Linked DNA regions of Drosophila melanogaster. Changing the gene in region 2 together with the main gene of any one other region gives a genetic interaction. Each region holds a gene or a part of one and is shown on either strand. Other genes may lie near its edges.

What was found.
Region 1: of CG5445 (region 2) and Txl, changing one suppresses a phenotype caused by changing the other (phenotypic suppression), as found in Drosophila melanogaster (one study listed by BioGRID).

The regions. Positions count from the first base shown.
Region 1 is NT_037436.4:5,763,692-5,767,445, forward strand, and holds Txl (Thioredoxin-like), read left to right. Parts: upstream 1-2,154; 5' UTR 2,155-2,318; coding exon 2,319-2,684; intron 2,685-2,741; coding exon 2,742-3,025; intron 3,026-3,084; coding exon 3,085-3,298; 3' UTR 3,299-3,393; downstream 3,394-3,754. Other genes in the region: CG10576 (uncharacterized protein), read right to left, coding at 1-85, 743-905, 968-1,104, 1,396-1,493, 1,650-1,737; Ppat-Dpck (bifunctional phosphopantetheine adenylyltransferase - Dephospho-CoA kinase), read right to left, coding at 3,445-3,754.
Region 2 is NC_004354.4:17,280,902-17,284,655, forward strand, and holds the start of CG5445 (uncharacterized protein), read left to right. Parts: upstream 1-1,594; 5' UTR 1,595-1,726; coding exon of another isoform or gene 1,727-1,792; 5' UTR 1,793-1,943; intron 1,944-2,002; 5' UTR 2,003-2,074; intron 2,075-2,860; exon of another isoform or gene 2,861-2,913; coding exon of another isoform or gene 2,914-3,468; intron 3,469-3,530; coding exon of another isoform or gene 3,531-3,572; exon of another isoform or gene 3,573-3,599; intron 3,600-3,754. Other genes in the region: CG8664 (uncharacterized protein), read right to left, coding at 910-1,488, 1,727-1,792; CG8661 (uncharacterized protein), read right to left, coding at 2,914-3,468, 3,531-3,572.

The sequences.
Region 1 (3,754 bases), on a different chromosome or scaffold from region 2:
TCAGCTCGTGACTGAGCATGCCCTCAATGGGCTTGCACTTATACGACTCGCTGATTTGTTGCACTGCATCGGTGAGGGAGTAGTTCTGTAAGGATACAGAATTGAAACATAAATATTAAGTATGAAATAAAATGGAAATAGTTCAAAGCAGAGATAAAGAAAACATTCCAATTCCCTTTGACTAATCTTAATCAAATATCATAGTATACTATAGATAACGCAAAATAACAATAACTGATCGGCATTATCATTGCGATTGTGGACAACTTTAAAGACCGAACATTTCAAGTATCTAAACTTGTTCAGTTCACGAAATCGACACTGTTGATCTCTGCAGACGTTGAGCTGTGCTGAGCCACGAGTTAAGGCAGCAGACAATCCGTTGCCTGCAGATTACAATTCCGACATATCTATAAACTGGAGATGTGGACAAATTTAAAGACCGAACACTTCTATGGAATGAACTTGTTCAGTTCACGAAATTGACACAGTTTCTATCCGCAGGTGTTGAGCTGATCTGTGTCAGAGTTTGAGCGCAGTCAATCCGTTGCCTGCAGAAGAAATAACCTTGTGGACAACTGACAAGAAGCCTCCAGTCCTGAATAATAGGCCAGGGCAATTACCAGCTGCCACAGCTGATCTTTGCAAGTGTTGAGATGTTCAGTCGCTGGAGAATCGCGGCAGACAATCCGTTTCTTGCAGGGATTAACGGAGGATTACCTAGAAGTAAGGGAGGACTCACATTGGCGCCGGACTTGAGCAGACGTAAGGCAGCCTGGACAGCCCAGTAGGCGGCGAGGATGACATCGGCCTGGCGACCACTGATCTTCTGATCCGCAGCAGCGCCTACCACAATTGTGTGAGCGGCCACGGCAATGAAACCATCAATGTGGGCACCCAGATCGCTGTAGAAAAGAAATGTTACGTATTTAGTGGCGGTATATGTGGAATAGGAGGTTCAACTTACATTTTGACCACATCACCGGCCTTTAACGTGTAGTCAGCATCGTTTTTGGCTGGCGAGAAGTGGCAGACACAGTTGTTGACGGACAGACAGGTGGGAAAGGCAATGCCCTTCTTCAGGTCTTTCTCCTTTTTGTATACCTGTTTGTGAAAGATCGATAAAAGCATTAGATTGCTTGTTCGTTGTACTATATATCAATGATAGTGCGCGGTGTGTCCTCAGATCTCATAATCTGTAAATCCTCGGGACCTTTTGGAGAGCACACAAGCCGGGCACGTGGAGCATTGGAGTCCCCGCGTGCGCCTGGCGACCACGAGGTGATCCCCAGCCCGCACAGCACATGGCTCGCCATCGGGAAACCCTCAAAGGTGTAAGTCTTAATCATTGGACATGAAATTGGCGCGAATGACCGCCAGGTGGCCACCACTTACTTTGCCGGTCTCCTCGGTGAGCTGATTGTCGCCCTGGGTGCAGATCTCCCGGACGGAGGCATCAACCACGCAGAGTCCAATTACCGCCTTGAGGGTTTCTAAAATTAAACGAGCAGACAGAGTCCAGAAATAGGCAGATTAACCAACGCGTGGCGCACAAGGGAAAGCGGCATTCGGTGCATTGTGTAAGCGCCACGTAGCAGCGACTCCAGGAATCGGCCAGCGTTCGCTGTTTCCGGCCAAGGAATACTCACTGTTGACGATTTCGCCGGCCAACTTATACTTGGTCACCACCAAATCCTCGGCGATGGTCTTCTCGGGCTCCTTTTCCACATCTGCCATTGTACTTGACTCTAATAATTTTAAAATGGCGACTTAATGAAAATGCGACCGACTGAAACACCACGAGGTAATGAACGTGTGGCCAGGCGCAGCGCAGGTATCGAAAGTTCCAGTGGCGTGTATGGTGGGACCGCTCATTCGCCTTGACAACCCTGGCAAATGGGCGGTAAGCTTAAGATGAGCGTGAAAGCGTAGATTGCTAGTCGTAAACACTGAATGAATTTTAAATAACACTTTGAGCTATATCAAATGAGAATATTTCATAGTTTTACATATTGTAATCCACTAATATTTCAATAAAAGTTTAAATATTAAGTTTCGGTTTTTTTCTATTACACATAAATGGTCCCTCTAAAAATAGGAAGTCAAAGAGCTCGAAATATCGATACCATCACAGTGTGACCGCTTGTGGAATACCGCATTCGGTATTTTTCTTAGCACGAATTTGGACTAAATGCATATTACAAGTCATCTTTAACAAAAAAAATTTGCATTGAACGTTAATAATAACATTTACTTGCTTAAATCCAATTCGGCTGCCGAAACAAAAGCTCAATTAATAGAAACCTAATCCTATCACCATGTCCGTGCGCGTGATCAACGACGAGTCCCACTTCCAGGCGGAGTTGGCCCAAGCGGGCATTCAATTGGTTGTGGTGGACTTCACAGCTTCGTGGTGTGGTCCCTGCAAGCGGATTGCGCCCATCTTCGAGACGTTTCCAACAAAGTACCCAAAGGCCATCTTCCTGAAAGTGGATGTGGACAAGTGCCAGGACACGGCTGCTGGACAGGGCGTTTCGGCCATGCCAACATTCATCTTCTACAGGAACAGGACCAAGATCGATCGCGTCCAGGGTGCGGACGTCAATGGGCTCGAGGCCAAGATCCAGGAGCACATCGGTACATCCGGTGGCGAGGAGGGGGGCGAGGATTACGGGCAGGGATTGGTAATATAGTGCAGTATTTGGAAATGTTCCAAAAATAATCCCTAATCCTTCTTACAGATGGAACTGAATACATTTATTTCGAAGCAGGAGTGCGAGTGCCTCAACGAAGCTGATGACCACAACTTAAAGCACGCCCTGGCCTCCGCCGGTGGCTACCTGCAGTCCGATTGCGATGAGCAGCTCATCCTGTCCATCACCTTTAATCAGGCTGTGAAGATCCACTCTTTGAAGTTCAAGGCACCTTCGCACCTGGGTCCCAAGGATGTGAAGCTGTTCATTAACCAGCCCCGCACGATTGACTTTGACATGGCCGAGTCCATGAACAGTGTGCAGGATCTAAGGTAGCTATTGCCTTCTCTATGGCTGCTTAGCTCTTCTCACTGTTCAATCCATTTTGCAGCCTGGCTCAGAAGGAGCTGGAGAGTGGAGTGCCCGTGAATCTGCGCTACGTCAAGTTCCAGAATGTGCAAAACATCCAAATCTTCGTGAAGAACAATCAGTCAGGTGGCGATGTGACGCAGATTGATTATATCGGCTTCATCGGTTCCCCCATCATGACCACCAAGATGAACGACTTCAAGCGAGTGGCTGGCAAGAAGGGCGAGAGCCACTAAGGTTCCATTGAAATTTTCAGCGTTTTTCCCCAATGACGTCCCAGCATTTCTTTTCAACTTTGGACTTACAACTAAACAATATACAACAAATGCATAAAAAATCATACAAAATAAGGATCAACAAGATAATCTAAATATCCATCGGGTTAAAGGCTGCTCTGGTAAGAGTCCAGTTCCTTGGTAAGCATTTTCCACGCACGCTCCGCCTGTTTCTGGGTGAATTCGTGATCCCATTGCGAACTGAATATCACATGCGACTTGGCCACGATCTCAGAATTGGGCACCTGACTGGCCAGTCGCTTTTGGGCCTCCACTTCGCTCAACTTGTTGCGCTCAATAATCCGCCGCACAGCCTCATCCGGTGGCACAATCATGGACCACACCTCATGGCAATTGGTCTCCCAGCCCGCTCGCAGCAGCACCGCTGCCTCCAGGACCACCACACGCGGCACGTCC
Region 2 (3,754 bases):
CATACAACACATCTATGAATGAAAAAGCGAACGAATGAAACAATAAATACATATATATAATTTAAAACAAAAGAGAGAATGCTTTAGTCGAGTTCCCCGATAATTATATAACCGTGTCTCAGCTAGTGTGAATGCGAGCGCGAAATTTTATTATTTTTCTGGGATATCGATAGGAATTGGAAAATAAAATAAGAAAAATTGATCAAAAGTGTGGGCGTGGCAGTTTTAGGCGGCTTGTGGGCGGTAGAGTGGGCGTGGCATCGTGGGCCCCATGTTTTCCTTTGCCGTTGGCGGTGTGGTAAGTTTTTCTTAATTTTGTAAATCAATTTTTATACCTAAAATTTCCAGCCACCGCGCTAACCAACTCGGTGTGGCTAAGGAATTTTGGTCGGAACGTATCGACGTATTGTATACTTGACATGGTCGGAGACCAATACATTTTCAACGAATCTAGTATACCTTTTTACTCTACGAGTAACGTGTTTACTCCCTTCATATTCTATTTGTTGCTTTTGTTGGAGTCCAGACCCATTGATACCGCTGGCGCCCATCATTTGAATCATCGAGTACAGAATATCCAGGAAGTCTGTCTATTGGCAATAGAATTAAGATTTTTGAACATATAACATCCTTTTTTATGGGTATAGAACATAAGGTTGAAGGTGGTTAAAGTCAAATAAGTCAGTTAGTAATAATGAGCACATCGATTTCCAAAGCTCTGTATGTGTCACATTCGTTTAAAAGTTTGAAACAGCAAAAAAAAGCCATGTTTGTCGGTCCGTCGGTATCTCGTGATCTGAGACACTATACAGGCTAGAAAGGTGTATAAGATATGTTGTCACACCCCGAACTCCCAAATCAGGAAGAAAGCATCTGCTTTGCTCATAATTTCATGGTTTTATTACCAACTTATGTCATGCTGGCTATGCAGGTATTGATGTTGGGCACAAAGGCGTTGCAGCCGTCGACCACCTTCTTGGTGGCATCGACGTAGCAGGAAGAGGTGTTGAAGGGCAGGGCTGCGCCCTGCTTGATCAATGTGTTCATGCGGCGGACAAGGGACATGGTGGCGTAGAAGGCCTTCAGGGTGCAACGCATGAAGCTCTTGGTGGAGGAGACGACGCTCCTGGAGGTGGAGGCGCACAGCTCGGACTTCATGTTGATGATCTTGTTGCTGGTGATGATCATTTGCTTGACATTGTTCAGCATGGCCTGGATATCCTTGGGAATATCGCCGGTGCAGGTGCTCAGGTCGTCTACGTAGTTGGTGCAGGTGAGCAGCACATTGGCCACCTCCTCGACGATGCACTTGGTGCCGTTGATGCCCTTGTATCCGGCCCACAGAATCTTGCGGCACGATCCAATGAAGCCGAACTGCTCGACGCCCATGAACTCATCCTCCATTGCCATCAACTCGGCGGCGTAGAGATCCTTAAGCTCGGCATCGGTGTAGGGCTCGAAGTCCTCGAAAGCACCTACGGCACTGGCCTAAAACAAGTTAGGAATACGATTCGATTTTGGAATAACTGTCAAAATATTTGACTTCAAGTAGCACACGTTTTAAAAGCACTTCGGAAAAAAAATTGAACAAAATATATTTGCTTTAAGCGACGATTCTGTTCATTAAATCTTTGTTTGCTGCACTTTTCGGATTTTTTTCAAACTCTAATAACGATGGCACTTGACTGTATTTGCTAGTAGTTCTTCATAAGGTTGTCTGACTTACGTTCGCTGTGGCCAGAAGGAAGCTGGCAGAGGCCACGACCAAGAGGCAGACGTTGAGTACTTTCATGTTACTGGTGGATGGTTTCACTGGCGAATGTTTGCTGACCGATCCGTGGGGTTTGTTTATATAGACGATTGGCCGGAGCCATATCAGTTAAGTGGCGATTCGGAGGTTCGATTTGCACATACACTTTGGAAAACCAATGTGCCGGCGATATGTATGCTTTAATTAAACCACCACACAAAGTCCGAAACTAATTTGACATTATCTATGCAGCGTGGACACACAAAGGAAGATAGCGAGATAGTCATATAGCCAGATTGTCCAGATTGGACAGGGATTCCTCAGGTAAGTCCGACACCACCCACCGCAAGCACTCCCATATATCGACGCGATGCATTCGATGCATAATCGCTCAAAGAAATCAATGGGTATTTTATTTAACAAAACAAAACCCTTGGAAAAGTCACCTATCTACGTTGTCAACGTCTGAGTGACAGCTTTTTAATATTTAAAGTGGCTTAAATCTAATTTATAAATAAGCATGAGCATTACAGTAAAAGAAGTATCGAGTATATTAAAAAACTAATTATACCAAAGAGAGAGCCTTTTATCTTCAAACCTGTCTCATGGCCCTAGGTTAAGGTGATCATATCTGTTGAGATATTGTTTTTGTCACACTTCCATTTTTATCAATATTCAATAGTGATAGAAAGTACACTCGCACTGGTTTTCGTTTAGGGGTGCAGACATTTGGTTAACAGTAACTAAACAATTATCTAACTATTCTGTACTCAATAAAATATAAATTTGTATTATAATTGAATTACTATTAATTTACTCTGACTAAAAATTGTATAAATTGTACAAATATACAAATATAGGTATGTTATAGAGCAACTTGTTATATTCCACTTAATACTTTTTGCAAATCGATGGAAATTCGCAAGACTAATAAAAATATAAAAAATATCATATATACGATATACCAGATCGACTCGGCTATTGATCCTAATCAAGACTATATGAAAACGCTTCCTTTTACTTTACGAGTAACGGTTATAAAAATTTAGTTACGAATAGTAATAAAAAGGCTTTCTCTCCTCTAACAAAATTAAATAACTAGCAAAAACTGTGATAACACGGATTTTTATTGAATGCTCGAATCAATTGCGGGCACTAAACCCCTAAGAAGTCAGCTTGGAGCAGCTGATGATGTTCTGGGGAAAGGCGGTGTAGTAGGTGGTCAGGGTGTTGACGGCATCGGAGACACAGGCGACGGCATTGGGACCGGTTTGCGGGATCTTCTTGGCCAGCTTGATGGCATTGTCCACTTGCTTCTTTAGGGACCACACCTTGCGCAGAGTCTTAACAAAGCAGCTGCCAGAGACCTTCGTCTCCTCGTCGTCCGTTTGGGGGCAAGTGTTGGACCTCAGATTGATGAGGTCGTTGCAAGTGCTGAGGATCTTATTGTTGGCGTTGATCAATTTGGTCACATCCTTGCTGGCGGTGACGCCGCACACGACCACGTCCGTGTTAAATTGGGTCGCACTGTCCTTGATGCCCGCCACCCACTTGATTATGCAATTGAGTCCCTTGATGCTTCGCAGAGCGATCTTTAGGGATTTGTAGGTCGTACTCAGCACGCCAAAGTCCTCCACCTCCAAGCTACCATCGGTCACATCGTCCAGTTCTGACGAAGAGTCCAGGGCGCTGGGAACAGGAGCCACCAATGCATTTACCTGGAATTTAAATATTTGCTACCATTGCGCAAATAATTTGTATTTTTCATTGCAAAACTTACGCAAAACAGGCCCAAAGCCAAAATAAGAATGGTATACTTCATGCTGTCGTTGTTTATAAGCAACTATGAAAACCGTTTCCGATTCGGCCCTTTTATATCGCTTGGTTTTTTAACCCTTTAGTGGTCAGGTAGGTCTTGTACAAACAGAAATATAATAGATATCTAGGTTCATAACTCTATTATTAGAGCTAAATGTTAGGATTGCACGGATATTATATTATATT